Astyanax mexicanus: one gene and its partner. The protein of the gene in region 1 purifies or fractionates together with the protein of each later gene. This does not show direct contact. Links are inferred from orthologs where the notes say so. Each region holds a gene or a part of one and is shown in the gene's direction. Other genes may lie near its edges.

Evidence for each region.
Region 2: the proteins of wdr77 (region 1) and sirt7 purify together in Homo sapiens (affinity purification with mass spectrometry; 3 studies listed by BioGRID, with this or other methods). This does not show direct contact. The link is inferred for Astyanax mexicanus from reciprocal best matches to the Homo sapiens genes WDR77 and SIRT7.

Annotation. Positions count from the first base shown.
Region 1 is NC_064431.1:32,443,538-32,451,274, forward strand, and holds the start of wdr77 (methylosome protein 50), read left to right. Parts: upstream 1-4,716; 5' UTR 4,717-4,868; coding exon 4,869-4,950; intron 4,951-6,085; coding exon 6,086-6,271; intron 6,272-6,366; coding exon 6,367-6,508; intron 6,509-7,528; coding exon 7,529-7,578; intron 7,579-7,737. UniProt on the Homo sapiens protein: Non-catalytic component of the methylosome complex, composed of PRMT5, WDR77 and CLNS1A, which modifies specific arginines to dimethylarginines in several spliceosomal Sm proteins and histones.
Region 2 is NC_064423.1:31,808,446-31,815,532, reverse strand, and holds the start of sirt7 (NAD-dependent protein deacetylase sirtuin-7), read left to right. Parts: upstream 1-4,073; 5' UTR 4,074-4,079; coding exon 4,080-4,184; intron 4,185-4,581; coding exon 4,582-4,719; intron 4,720-5,474; coding exon 5,475-5,579; intron 5,580-5,674; coding exon 5,675-5,745; intron 5,746-5,854; coding exon 5,855-5,927; intron 5,928-6,210; coding exon 6,211-6,309; intron 6,310-6,551; coding exon 6,552-6,788; intron 6,789-6,878; coding exon 6,879-6,959; intron 6,960-7,087. Other genes in the region: srsf11 (serine/arginine-rich splicing factor 11), read right to left, coding at 970-1,103, 2,518-2,639. UniProt on the Homo sapiens protein: NAD-dependent protein-lysine deacylase that can act both as a deacetylase or deacylase (desuccinylase, depropionylase, deglutarylase and dedecanoylase), depending on the context. Specifically mediates deacetylation of histone H3 at 'Lys-18' (H3K18Ac).

The DNA of each region.
Region 1 (7,737 bases):
GGCTTGTTCTGACAGGAGAGATCAGAGGAGCATCAGCAATAACAGAACATCACTGAGTCTGACCTGCCCGTACCGTGCCATACCGTATCACACCCAGAGAATATCATCATTTTAAATGTATATACAGCACTAATTACTCTGCACTTTAGTTTAGACACACCTTCTCATTCAATGTTTTTATTTTTAATATTTTTTCCTACATTATAAATTAATAGTTAAGTGATCTATCAGATTATAAAGGAACACATAAGGAATCATGTAGTAACTTAAAAACAGTGTTAAACAAACCTAAATACTCTTATCTGGGGAGCTGTTTGTTAACTTGTGCTTTCTGAGGCTGGTAACTCTGATGAACTTCCTGTACAACAGAGGAAATCTTGCTCTTCCTTTCCAGGGCATTCCTGATGAGTGCCAGTTCCATCATAAAGTTTTCAATGTTTTTTGCGGTGACTGCACTTGAGGATACTTTCAAAGTTCTTGAAATTGTTCAGATTTTTCTGCTCTGTATTTACAGCCACAGTGATTTAAACGTATTAAATAGGTAATTGCGAACAGGCATTTATGAAGACTGAAGCTGAAGGTTATTATGGGACGTGGTTGTGTTGTTGCAAAGATCTGAAGGTGCTGGAGTTGTTTTCCTCAGCCTGGGGCACAGTAATCATATGGCAGTGTGTGTTAGTGTGTGTGTGTGTGTGTGTGTGTGTGTGTGTGAGGGTGTGTGAGGTGAGGTGACGATGTGTGTTCTGGGTGTGGTGTGCAGTAAAGTGTAGCCTGAAGGCACTGAATCTGCGGTACATTCTCCAGTGCAGGTATGAACCAGCCTCAGGTGTGTGTGTGTGTGTGTGTGTGTGTTTTCTGACTCATCTTTTTCTACAAAAAGCCAGACAGAGGCAGACACACCCAGCTGCCGGTCTCCATGGCGATGAGGTGTGTCGTGGTTTGGTGGGATGAATCAGTCTAAAACCCCAAATCAGAAAATGTCAGGATGATATGCAATCCGATGCTTTACCTAAATGAGATAAAAACACCAATAAATAATGAAGGCCCTGTCTTACAACATGTGCATGATGCGTTGTGATGCTCATTGCTATCTTACACCTTGTCAACAGTCTATTTCCACTCGTTCCTCCTGCATTGTTTAAATAGCAACAGTGCTTCTGAATATATCTACACTGATGGGCGTGGTGGTCTGAAAATGAGGTTCAGGTAAATTTCTGGTTTATTGCTATCTTGGCAACGCAACTGTGCCATATGTAGATCAACAATAAACAAAATAATAAATAAAATAACATTGCTGTTCCCGTAAATTAGCTGCTGGATCTCCTTCACAGCGTCAACCAGCAGCTCAGTTTCCAGGTCCAGGTAGCTGCACTGTTAAAATAGCAATCCGCCAAAGTCAGAGCTCACCTGATCTACTCTTAAAGAGAATGATGAGCTTAAAGTGACACTCTGATTGGTTTATGTCATGTTACACCCAAAATTAACCACACCCACGATTAATTAAGAGAATTAGTACATAACTTGAGTCATGCAAGGTGTACTTTTCCCACCGTTATGATAGCAAAGACACACCAACGCGCTCTAAATCAAGCTGCACAGTGCACGGTTGATGGCTTGCCTATAGATCGCTAAAATAGGACTACAAATTTTATAAAATATATATATATTTCATTATTGAATTAAGGCTGCAGGTGACATGACTATTTTTAGAAAATGAATATACTCAATATGCTGTTCTAAGCTACGGTGACTCAAAAGAAATAATGAAAAATAAAGTTAAAACCAAGAAGATGTACGTGCGCGCTCCCGAGAGGGGGTGCTTTTCCTGGCGGGGGTGCTGAAATCGGCACAACACTGGTTCTGGACCGGACTGACCTGTAATCAGCAGAGAATGTGTGAAAACGTTTTTTAACCAAAAATACGACAAATGTAACAATTTTTTAAACAAGCTGTTGCAGACAGACTGGGCTGAGGTTACATGTTGTGTGAGCTTGGAAATTCCTGTCTGCTGAGTTTAGTGTGTGTGTGTGTGTGTGTGTGTGTGTGTGTGTGTGCGTGTGTGTGTGTGTGTATAATCCAGCGTTACAGCCGGAGCGAGCCGGACGTCTGCAGTGTCAGACACATTAGCATTAGCATTAGCCAAGCCTGTCTGAGCCAACCAGCTTACTCACAGAGGAAATGTGTAAACAGTGTAAACACACAGTGGGCGGAGCATACCTGCACCAGCACACACACACACACACACACACACACACACACACACACACACACGCACACACACCAGTATAAACCTCACAGAGGGAAAGTGAGGGACAGTGTGGAGAGAGCTGTTCAGACAGGTCAGTGTGTGATTTCTCTGTTTATTCTTTATTCATTAAATAAAATAAACAAATAATCATTACTCTGTAGTTAGAAGTATAGAGTGTTTAATAAAATACTTAGAAGTAGAAGTTAAAGAAGAATCAACTCAAGCATTTTACTCTTTAAGTAAAAGTGTTTAAAAAAGTACTGGATTCAAAAATTATTTAAAGTATAAAAGTAAAAGTTTTGATGTGTTTGGTTGCTTTAAAGAGTTTCGTGGGTTATAACTGTATTGTTTTAATATGTTTGGTTGTTTTAAAGTGTTTGGTGTGTTTTATCTGTATTTTTGGTGTGTTTGGTTGGTTTTTAGTGTTTGAGGTGTTTTAATTGTATTGTTTTGATGTTTTTTTGTATGTTGTTTTGATGTGTCTAACAATTGTTTTGATGTATTTGGATGTTTGAATGTGTATGATGTGTTTTAACTGTATTGTTTTGAAGTGTTAGATGTGTTTTATCTGTATAGTTTTGATGTGTTTGATGTGTTTTAACGGTATTGTTTTGATGTGTTTGGTTCCTTTGATGTGTTTAATGTGTTTAAACAATATTGCTTTGATGTGTTTGCTTGTTTTTAAGTGTTTGATTTGTTTTATCTGTATTATTGTAATGTGTTTAATTGTTTTGAGGGGTTTGGTGTGTTTTATCTGTATAGTTTTTTTCTGTATGGTTGTTTTTATGTTGTTTTAATGTGTTTTAACTGTGTGTTTTGTATTTATTACTCATCAGGACGGTGGTTATGATGCTGATGGACAGTAGAGTGCTGGTGCCGCTGGCCCGGGAGCTGTTGTCTCTGAGGTTCAGGCCGGGGTTGCTGAGGGTTTACCTGGTGGGCTCAGTGTTGGCTCTGCTGGGGGTCGTGGTGGGCGTGGCCGACATGCTGCGTTTGACCTTCTGCACTGAGGACGTCCAGACTGGACCAGAGGAACAGTACGAGGAGCTGCTCGCAACCCTGCGGGAGATCACACACACACACTCACACACTCTCTCACACACACACACACTCACAGACACACACTCTCACACAGACACACACACTTACAGTGAACTGAGGCCCTCACTGCATTTTGAGGAGGAGAGAGGGCCCTTAACCTACAGGAGACCCCTGGAACACACACTCCCCCCATACACCCATCGTATGTAGCATCTTCTCAGCTCACTGAGAACATTTATCAACATTTTAAAAAGGTTCCATTAACGTTAAACTGTAACATTGCAGTGACGTTACCATGATGTTTAAAAATGTTAAGTAAAAACACTCTAAGAACATCCTGAAAATGTAAGAACATTAACCGTCAAGATCAGAAAATGTTCTATTAAGCAAAAACTGTTCCATGCATTAAAGTGTAGCGATGGATGTGTGTAACTTATTGATCTACTGTTTCCCAGAATGCACTGCAAATCAAATCAGCTGATGTTCTGTGTTTAATACTAGATGGCAGCTGTGTGTGTGTTTGCTATTCTTACATTATATATTTTTTGTATCTATAATTGTAAGTGTAAATTTTGTAAATGTATATTCATTATTATTTAGATTTTATTTGTATTTTATAATTTTAAAACTGTTCACATGAAAAATAAACAACCTCAAACAACCTTAATTACTTTTATTTTATTTTTTTTTTAAGAATAAAAAACTCAATCTGTTTATATGTAGATTTTATTGCGAGATATTTTGTGTTAAATTTCAGCTGAAGAACCAAAAACAACAGAGAGTTTGGCTGTTCAAATACCAAAGCCTGAATAAATACCTTGTCTTGGGAAATTTTCTTTTTTTAAATACATTTTCAAAGCTCATACATTTTTATTTCCAATGCTATTTACTAGCTGTAAGCTGTTAATCAGGGAACTGTTTCCTAAAAAAAATCCAATATAGTTTTACAATATACTGTTTATATAACATTTTTATTTTAATTTTTAGTTGTTTTCTTTTTTTAAAGGACTCTGCATTTTATATAGTTGGATTTCAGCTTCAAGATCACGGACTTTTACGTTGAAGTTGTACCTGCACTAAACGCCATTGGACAAAAAAAAAAAAAAAAGTTTATTTAATTATATTTAACGAACCTTAGATAATCAAAGTATGAGGTTTTTAATATGAGCGAGTTTTAAAATGTAATTTATTTTATATTATGAACTCTTATTTTATCGGGTGTAGCTGAAACTCGCAAACAACCATATCCGTCCATAAACCGGCTCTGATTGGACAACATTTTGCTTATATTTTCTGGATTATAAAAGCTCGTTCTGTTGGAAATGATAGTAATAATAATAATAATAATAATAATAATAATAATAATAATAATAAAAATATTAGTAGACTTTTATTCATTTAAAAGTGGGACTTTTATCCGGAAGCGGAAGTGAGTGGATGTCAGAGGCGCATGTACGCTGCTCCATCTCTCCGGCCATTCATTCGCGCGCTGGAAAAACAGACTCACAAACAAACCGGTAAATAAATAAACCGGTAAATAATCAGGTAAAGACTGAGAGCCGCCGCGCTGAGCTGCAGGATGCTAACCGAGAGCCGCTGGTGCCCCGCGAGCGCGCCCGCGTGCATGGAGAGACACCTGGAGACCCTGCAGTACAGAACAGGTAACTTACCTTAACTACCCTTACCTTACCTATAATTAGAGGTAAAATACACCACAGCCTGCTGCAGGAGTGAGTGAGTGAGTGAGTGAGTGAGTGAGTGTATGTGTGTGTGTGTGTTTGTGTGTTTGTGTGTTTGTGTGTGTGTGTGTGTGTGTGTGTGTGTGTGTGTGTGTGTGTGTTTTTGTGTGTGTGTGTGTGTGTGTGTCTGTCTGTGTTTCTCTCTGTGTGTTTCTGTATATCTGTGTGTTTCTGAGTATCACTGTTTCTGTGTATCTCTGTGTTTGTGTGTCTGTATATCTGTGTGTTTCTCTGTGTATCTCTGTGCATCTCTGTATCTCTGTGTGTTTCTGTGTGTGTTTCTGTATGTTTCTGTGTTTCTGTGTGTGTGTGTGTTTCTGTATCTTTGTGTGTTTCTGTGTGTGTTTCTGTATCCCTGTGTTTCTGTGTCTCTGTGTGTTTCTGTATCTCTGTGTGTTTCTGTATCTCTGTGTGTTTCTGTATCTCTGTGTGTTTCTGTGTGTTCTTTATCTCTGTATGTTTATGTGACCTGTATCTGTGTGTTTCTGTCTGTGTGTCTGTATCTCTGTGTGTCTGTATCTCTGTGTGTCTGTATCTCTGTTGTGTCTGTATCTCTGTTGTGTCTGTATCTCTGTGTGTCTGTGTGTCTGTATCTCTGTGTTTCTGTATCTCTGTGTTTCTGTGTGTCTGTATCTCTGTGTTTCTGTGTGTCTGTATCTCTGTGTTTCTGTATCTCTGTGTTTCTGTGTATCTGTATCTCGGTGTGTGTCTGTTTTTCTGTGTCTGTGTCTGTGTGTGTGTGTGTGTGTTTCTTTCTCTGTGTTTCTCTGTGTGTGTTTCGGTGTCTGTAAATGTCTTTTTGTGTCTAGGTTTCTCTATTTTTAAAGTTTGTTAATGTCTCTTTGTGTCTGTAAATGTCTTTCTAGGTCTGTAAATGTCTGTACATGCCTCTCTGTGTCAAAGAAGTGGGCTTGGCTTAACATTAAAAATATTCAAAACTGTGAGCAGTGTAATTATGGTTTCGTTAAGAAACATTCTTTCTTGTGTGTTGAGCAGTCTGATGGCCTAGGGGAAGAAGCTGTATTCTGAGCGTGTTTTGTCTGTGTTTTTCTCTCAGATGGGACTCTGCTGTTGGGGGCGTCGGGTCTGACGGGTCGGTGTTGGCTCGGTTCTCTCTGGGTGTTCAGTGATGCTAAACTCGCTCCTAACGAGGGTTACTGTAAGGCGGGGGTTCAGACAGAGGCGGGAGTTACCCACGCTGAGTGGCTCACCAACAGAGCCATCATCCTCGCCTCAGACTCAGGTGAGCAGAGGGGGGATATTGATCGATTAGTGATTGGTTCAGTGGCCAGTTGTGTTCTTTGCTAATGTTTCGCGTAATTGTCTTTATTTATGTAGGTGCTGTTGAATTATGGGAGCTGGCGGAGGACGAGCGTCTGCTGGTAAACAGGTTTACTCGCCATGAGCACGATCACGTTGTGACGTCAGTGAGCCCTACGGCCGACGCGGGTCACGCGGTCAGCAGCGGCATGGACTGCAGGTCAGCAGCATCAATGCTAACGTAGCTAAGAAGTAATCAAGGGTTATACCTCAACATTTAGCTTAGCATGCTAATGTATCTAACAAGAAATATAAGTTACCAATTACCACTGGAGCTAAAATAATGGATAATGTAGCTTCTTAGCTTAATCTTATATTATCACTGGAGCTACAAGAATACCGGTAATGTATCTAATAAGTAGTGGAAGTTTAAACTCACCAGCTTAGCTTAGCATGCTAATGTAGCTAACAAAAAATGGAAGTTATAAGTTACCAATTAGCACTGAAGCTAAGAATAAGGATAATGTAGCTTCCTAGCCATGAAGCTAATTGAAGCTTAAACTTGTGTTATTACTGGAGCTTTAAATGTTATGTAGCTTATAAGTAACGGAAGTTAAAACTCACCAGTTAGCGCTAAAGCTAATAGGCTAATAATCATCTCCAGACCTGAACCCTGTCAAAAACCTCTGGAATATAATCAAGAGGAAGATGGATGTTCACAAGCCATCAAACCAACAAATAAAGTTAAACTAGTTTTTTTTTTTTTTGTAGCAGGAGTAAAGGCATAAGATCACCCAAAAGCAGTGTGTAAGACTGGTGGAGGAGAACATGAAAGCTGTGATTTATAAAACAGGGTTATTCCACCAAATATTGATTTCTGAACGTTTTTAAAACGTTAGTATTGTTATTTCTTAATGAATATGAACTTGTTTTCTTTGCATTATTTGAGGTTTTTAACATTTCTCATTTTCTGCAAATGAAAATTCTAAATGACAAATTTATTATATTTCTATTTGGAATTTGGGAGAGATGTTTTCACAGAATAAAACAACAAATGTTCATTTTAATCAAACATATGCCTATAAATTGTAAAATCAGAGAAACTGATGGTTTTAAAGTGTTTCTCTGAGTTTAATGGATATTTGCTCTACATTAGATGGTATATGGCACTGTATGTGAGTGTAGCTCATGTGTTGTAGTGATGTTGGTGTTAATAAGAGCGAATCTTCTGTGTTTTTAGGGTTAAAGTTTGGGATCTGAGTCAGGAGACGGTGATCAGCAGCTACAGCGGTGAGAATACTTATACACTATACGAGAAAAACAAATGTATTTAGTTTAAAAGTTTAATTTAGATTCATTTTCATACATAAAGTGCGCAGGATTATAAGGCGTGACACTAGTAGGGAACAGGGGTTTCAAACGAGTGATGGATGTTAATCTACACAGATT
Region 2 (7,087 bases), on another chromosome or scaffold:
TTCTACAGTTCCCTGTTGGCAGCAGAGGACCTGTCAGTCGCCAGCCGGCTCTGCAATTGCCTTGTCCACTACAAAAAGTCAGACACACACACAAACATACATACACACACACAAATGACAGAAAAAAAGTTTATCCAAAACTTGTGTAAAGCAAATGTGCTTACTGGATGAATAACAGACATACCACTTCTCCCGCAACTAGTGGGATTTTCTCACATATTCATAGCAGCTCCCTAAAGCCTGTATAAGGTATTTAAATACAGCTCAGGAAAAAAAATAAGAGACCACTTAAAAATGATGAGTTTCTTTGATTTTACCAAATTGAAAAACTCTGAAAGATAATCAAGAGGAAGATGGATTATTACAAGCCATCAAACCAAGCTGTACTGCTTGATTTTTTGCACCAGGAGTGGTGTAAAGTTATCCAAAAGCAGTGTGTAAGACTGGTGGAGGAGATGCATGAAAACTGTGATTAAAACCAGGGTTATTCCAGCAAATATTGATTTCTGAACTTTATGAATATGAACTGGTTTTCCTTGCATTATCTGAAAGCTCTGCATTTTTTGTTATTTCAGCCATTTTCTGCAAATAAATGCTCTAAATGACAATATTTTTATATGGAATTTGGGAGAAATGCTGTCCATAGTTTATAGAATAAAAAAACAATGTTCATTTTACTCAAACATATACCTATAAATAGCAAAATCAGAGAAACTGGTTCATAAACTGAAGTAGTCTCTAATTTTTTTTGCACAGCTGTATATAATAATGGAGAGTTTAATAGAAACTACCTGTGCCTGTATTACTCATGTTAAGGAATGTTTACAGGTGTCATCCTTGTACCGGTACAACTACAGTTATATAAAACAGGTGTACTCACATAAACTGCAAGACTGTAAAGGATTGTACATGAAAAAAAAAACATCACACAGGAAAGAATACTCTGCTGTTTTGAAGACGGGCACAAACCTTCAGCGAATGGGACAACGATCAGGGCTCTGTCCACGAAGACCGTGTTCGTCAGATGCTGGGAAACTCCAACTGATTCAGATTCGAGGAACTTTACAAAACAGACACGTGAAGTCACAGGCAAGGGAGAATCACTGGAAGAAAATATAAAGGCTTTTGCAAGATGTACAGACAGTTCTAACATTTACACACACCTTCTCCACTCAAACCAGCTTCAACACTTTGCATTGCCTTGATGAATCCCGTACGTGTTTTTAGAAACGCTCCATCTTGGCTCTCTAAGGCACGTCCTACCTGAACTGCCGTTATGACGTGAAGTTATGACCTGATGTGTTTTGGACAGATGGAAAATAACAACAAAAAAGCAGAACACAAGTTAGCTATCTGAGAAAATACACTATGAGTTACAACTCTTACTCAGTCATACACAGAAATAGAGATTCTGACTGGTTCTGCCACCCCATCTATAAAACAGAGGTTCTGATTGGATCTGCTTTCTACTTGTTTATGTCTATAGGTCACTATCAGTCATTTCTCTTGATATGTCTACATTTCATGCCATACATGGATCAACGGTCCATTACACTAGGGTCAGTACTGTATAAGTGAGCCTATAGACCCAAAGGATTCAAGGAATAAAGACCTTATTTTCTTAACTGAAGTAAAAGAGCTCATTATTTGGACAACCACATTTTCCTCATGTAAACTTCAGGCAAACAGAAATTACCCATCTAAAAATTACTAAATAAGTGAAAAGGCTGAATAATTTAATATTGTGCTTGGTTGATATGTCTGCAGAAATGTTAAAAATGTAGCATTTAGGCAATTGTGGAATAAAAGTATAAAACCTGGGAAAAAAACATTGCATTCTGTGTGAGGATGCACAAATGTGGGAGTTCTAGGCCGATGCAGATATCTGATATTAAAATGAATAAATATTAGCCTAAATCAGTGATTGATAGTTGTACAGCCAGTGTTTTTGCTCCAGCAAAAAAAAAAGAGATTAAGAGTGATTAATATTATATTTTGCATAATTTTCGTAACTATGGCTGATAAAAATAAATGCAAAAGAGTTAATGCAACCAAATATTAACGTTTATACAATATTCTTTGCTTACAGGGTACTGTCTTCTATGCTTCCCTCTGCTGACAACTTTTATGAAAATGCGGATTTCATTTTTCAGCAGGACTTGGCACACTGCACACACTGCTTTTAGAGTTTCCATTGGCTGTAGGTCATAATCATTAACAATAAAAGAAATACACGCTTAAAACAGATAGATATATAATATATAAGTTTCACATTTCGAACTGAATTACTGAAATAAAGCAACTTTTTTTAATGATATTCCTTTTTTTAGATACAGTAGTATTAATATATTAGAAAGGCTAGCTAACCATTATCTGTGAAGCTCCATTCAGACATATCCACTGCAGTGCTCAGGCTGCAGCTGGTTAGCTGTGCTGTGCTGTGTTGTGTTGTGCTGTGTTATATAAAGCACCGCTGTGTGTACAGTGTGGTACAGTGCAGTATTTAGAGTTACTCACTCTGGAGGGAAGAGCTTGAGCTCCTCGATGTTCCCCAGGAACCCAAACAGGGTCCTCATCTGCTCGGATGTGGCGCTGGGAGAAACATTGGTGACCTGAACCACGTTCGTGCTGCTGTTCATGATCAGGCCCTGCTGTTTACTAACGCCCGCTGGCGGATCAGCGCTGCCCACAAACAGCAGCAGGATTCAGGCGATTCCCCGCGGCTCGCTCGGTCCGCTCATACGAGTTTACCTGAATTTAACCTACAGATCAGCTCCACAGAGCCCAAATTCACCCAGCTTTCTCTATTAATAACTAATTAACGGATTTAAAGGCTCCCTAGCTACTGCTCCCCGCTTCTCATCTGGATCCTACCAGCAGAAAACTGACTAAAGTCAATGGCTTTCAAAATAAAAGTCTAAAACATTTAATTCTATTTTTAATGTATTGGCCAATTGAAATATATACAATAACATACACAATACATCTTAAATAAAATCTTAACATCTTAAATAAAATACTTTTCTGAAATTGTTAAAAAATCCAAACAAATAAATTATATTGACTAGGTGTTGCATACTAGTGCATCTCAAAAAATTAGAATATCATTGAAAAGTTACTTTATTTCAGTAACCAGTATTTAAAGCGTTTATTAGCGTCCCACTGCTGACAAGTTTTATGGAGATGCGAATTTCATTTTCCAGCAGGACTTGGCACACTGCCCACATATATAAAAAATCATATAATATGATTTTTTTTTTTAAAAAACACAGATTTTTGTGTTTTCATTGACGGTAAGCCATAATCATTTACAATAAAATGAATAAACGCATAAAATAAATCCCTCCGTGTGTAAAACATCTGTATAATATATGATATAATTTACATTTTGAACTGAAATACTGACATAAAGTAACTTTTCGATGATATTCTAATTATATTCTCGTTCCTTCTTTTGGGCAGTATAAAAATATAATCCATGCATTTCTTTATCATGGTAAATTAAAACATTTTAATGTAGCCCATAATATGTAGTGCTATTCATGTATGTCGTTTGTGTTATAAATATTATATTATTGTTTAGAAACTGTAACATTTAATATTTCATATAATACATAGCTATGTAGTTTGTACATAGTTGGTCACTCTGTTAGTCTGATTATATTTCATAATCAGAATAATTTATTTTTGCTTTTGATCTTTATATGTTGTACGTTGTATTTATCTATATCATTTTTAATTTTTCTTTTTTTGTCGTTATTGTTACAGCGATCAGGCTTTTCCGTGATAGTTGTACCATATATCATGTATAAATATTATGATTTTATGTGTGAAAAATAAATTTTGATCAAATTATTATTTTTATTTTAATTATTTTTTAATTATTTAATTATTTATTTATTGTTATTTCTAAATCTATAAAAACAAATCTATTCGATTATTTTTTTTCTTTTAGTACAAACATTAAACTGATTTCCTCTTTTATATGAGAAACCTAAAAAACTAATGGGACTTTAGTGGGACTTTTATTATGAAACGCAGGGTCTCTCCTGTTTTGAATCAGGAAAGCTAGTACAAGAATGGAGACCCAAACAGAAGGTGCTGTGCTTTCCCGAGCAGAGAGAAAAGCTCTGGAAAAGGAGAAAATCATTCAGAAAGAGACTCAGAGAGAGACCTTTAATCTGGTGAATATATCAGCTGCTTTATTTCCCTTCTTAAAAGATTTACACCTGGTTTAATAAACGCTAATTTAGCTAGTAATGTAACTTAGATACTTAGCTAGCCGGTAAGATAGCCTAGTCTGTCGGGGGTGTTTAAATGCCCCAGCTTCATTAATAACAGCTGTTATACTAAACTTTAAAATGTGTGTATATGTAGACAGACAGACAGACAGACAGATAGTAATATAAAACAATAATAAGCATGAACTAATAAAAAAAAAACACAGTCAACTATAGACAACTATATCTCACCTATTGCAATAAGGCATTAAATAAATACAAATAATAAATATTAACAATAAGTCAAGTCAATATTTATTGCAAATATTGTACGCTCTGCTGGTTAATCTGTTTTGTACAGGTTTCCAGAATACTGAAGAAATCTGAGTGTGAGCGGACAGAAGAGGAGATTTCTCTGCTTCACTCTCACCAAGAAACTGTCCAAGAGCTAAACAAGCGATGGGTCAGAAGAAACACCTTGAAGAGGAAGCAAGAAGAGGTGAGTTTGGTTTTATATGGTTGTTCTTTAAATTGCTATACTGGTGCATTTTAATCATTTAGAATATAATTTCCTCAAAAAGTTAAATTATATAGATGTTATTATACACAGTCAGCTATTTTAAGCATTTAATTCTGTTAATGTTTATGATTATGGCTTACAGGTAATGAAAACCCCAGTCAGTCAGTATTTTAAATTACATTTAAATTAAAATTTTATATGAAAAAAAAAATACAGAAATGCTGACACACTGAAAAGTATGTACAATATTATCAATATTAATTCAGCCTGTGGCACTGCTGTGGCATTGAGGTGTTATGAAAGCCCACCTCATCTTCCTATTGACAATAGTCCATAGATTTCAAGCTCAGGTGAATTCGCTGGTCAATCAAGCACAGTGATATTATGATTATTAAACTAGATATTGGTCATTTTGGCAGTGTGGGTAATTTCTGAGACACTGACTTTGCAGTTTTTATTATCTGTCGTAATCATCAACATAAAAAGATACTCTAGATCACTCTGTGTGTAATGAATCTATAATAGTTTCAGTTTTTAAACTGAATTACTGAAATAAATGACCTTTTTGATGATACCCTACTTTATTGATATGTACCTGTATATAATTTTTTTTGTATTTTGTTTTAGATTTGTGTATCAAAGCAGCATTAATAATAATTTTTTTTAATGGTTTTCGACAAAATGGAAATATTTTGCCACTTCGATGAATTACCTTTGTGCTCTGCTGCTTTTAGCTGTTTGATGATGAGGACGAATTGAGGACCAAAGTGAAACAGCTGGCTGAAGCCATGCGTCAAGCTCAGCATGCTGTCATCTACACAGGAGCCGGTATCAGCACGGTACTATCAACTCCAGCCTCAGAGGATGTACTTTCTTTTACTGCATGCATAATAAACGCTTCAAATATTAACCATCATTGTTTCATGTTTGACAGGCCGCATCCATCCCAGATTACCGTGGCCCAAACGGAGTATGGACCCAGCTGCAGAAGGGACGGACTGTTATGTGAGTGATGCAGTGTGCATTTCTCCACTTCTTCTGTTTTTATACAAAATAAAAAATAATTATTGTCCCCCACACATTGTGTCACATTGTGTCACATTATGTTCCACAGGGCTTCTGACCTCAGTGATGCAGACCCGACTCTGACGCACATGTGCATCCGGATGTTACACAAAATCAAAATGGTCAGTATGCTATTATTTAAAGACCAAGGAGTAACTCTTAGAACCAAAAATGAGTCTGTGATAGTACTGTATTATGCAATTTTGGACGTAGCAATAGACTTGATTAGGACCATCATGAGCATAGAGAGTGTCAGAGACGAGGCAGTGGTTAGGGAAATATGACAAAAAATGTTGCTTAGATTTTATAATTATTATTTTAATAATAATTTTTTCAATGTATTCATGAATGTCAGCCAGTACTTGGTGTTTGCATGCAGACTAAAGTACCTCTGTTTACGTGCAGGTTCAACATGTGGTCTCCCAAAACTGTGACGGCCTCCACCTGCGCAGTGGCCTTCCCAGACCCGCCCTTTCTGAGCTACATGGGAATATGTTCATAGAGGTGACCCTCATACTTTCTTATGGCTGTCAAACTTAACCATATCTTTAGTTGCATAGGAAAATCTAAATATTTATCATCTTGAGTTCCTGACACAGCAAGCTAACAGCACAAATGTGTGCTGTGTGCCGAAAATTCTTTTTTAGTCTGTTGGCATGTATTAATTTACAATCAGAAACCATCAAAATCAAAATGTTCTTCACTCTTATTCTCCAGTCCTAAACATGCCCATTCATTCCATACAGGTCTGTGTCTCATGTTCTCCAGTACGGGAGATCATTCGACTGTTTGACGTGACCGAGCGCACAGCGCTGCACAGGCACGGAACAGGCAGGAGGTGTCCCCACTGCGGAGCAGAGCTGAAGGACACCATCGTGCACTTTGGAGAGCGAGGCACCCTGGAACAACCCCTCAACTGGAAAGGTGCTGCCGAGGCTGCAGAGCAGGCTGACCTCATCCTCTGCCTCGGCTCCAGTCTGAAGGTAATGCAGCGATTCATGTGACTCTCCTTAGCTGTACCTTTCTGTTATGATTATGGCAATATCTGATTTTTGTATGTGGCACATTGGCAGGTCCTGAAGAAGTATGCATGCTTGTGGTCTATGAAGAAGCCAGCAGCTAAAAGACCAAAGCTGTACATCGTCAACTTACAGGTAATGACTCACACTTACTTTTTGGCTCCAGCTACAGTCCTGCAGTGTAACTTCACAAATTCACACTTGTAGCCACACAGTACACACAGTATAGTCATGAAAGTGTAAGAAGCACAGGGACTAAGGAA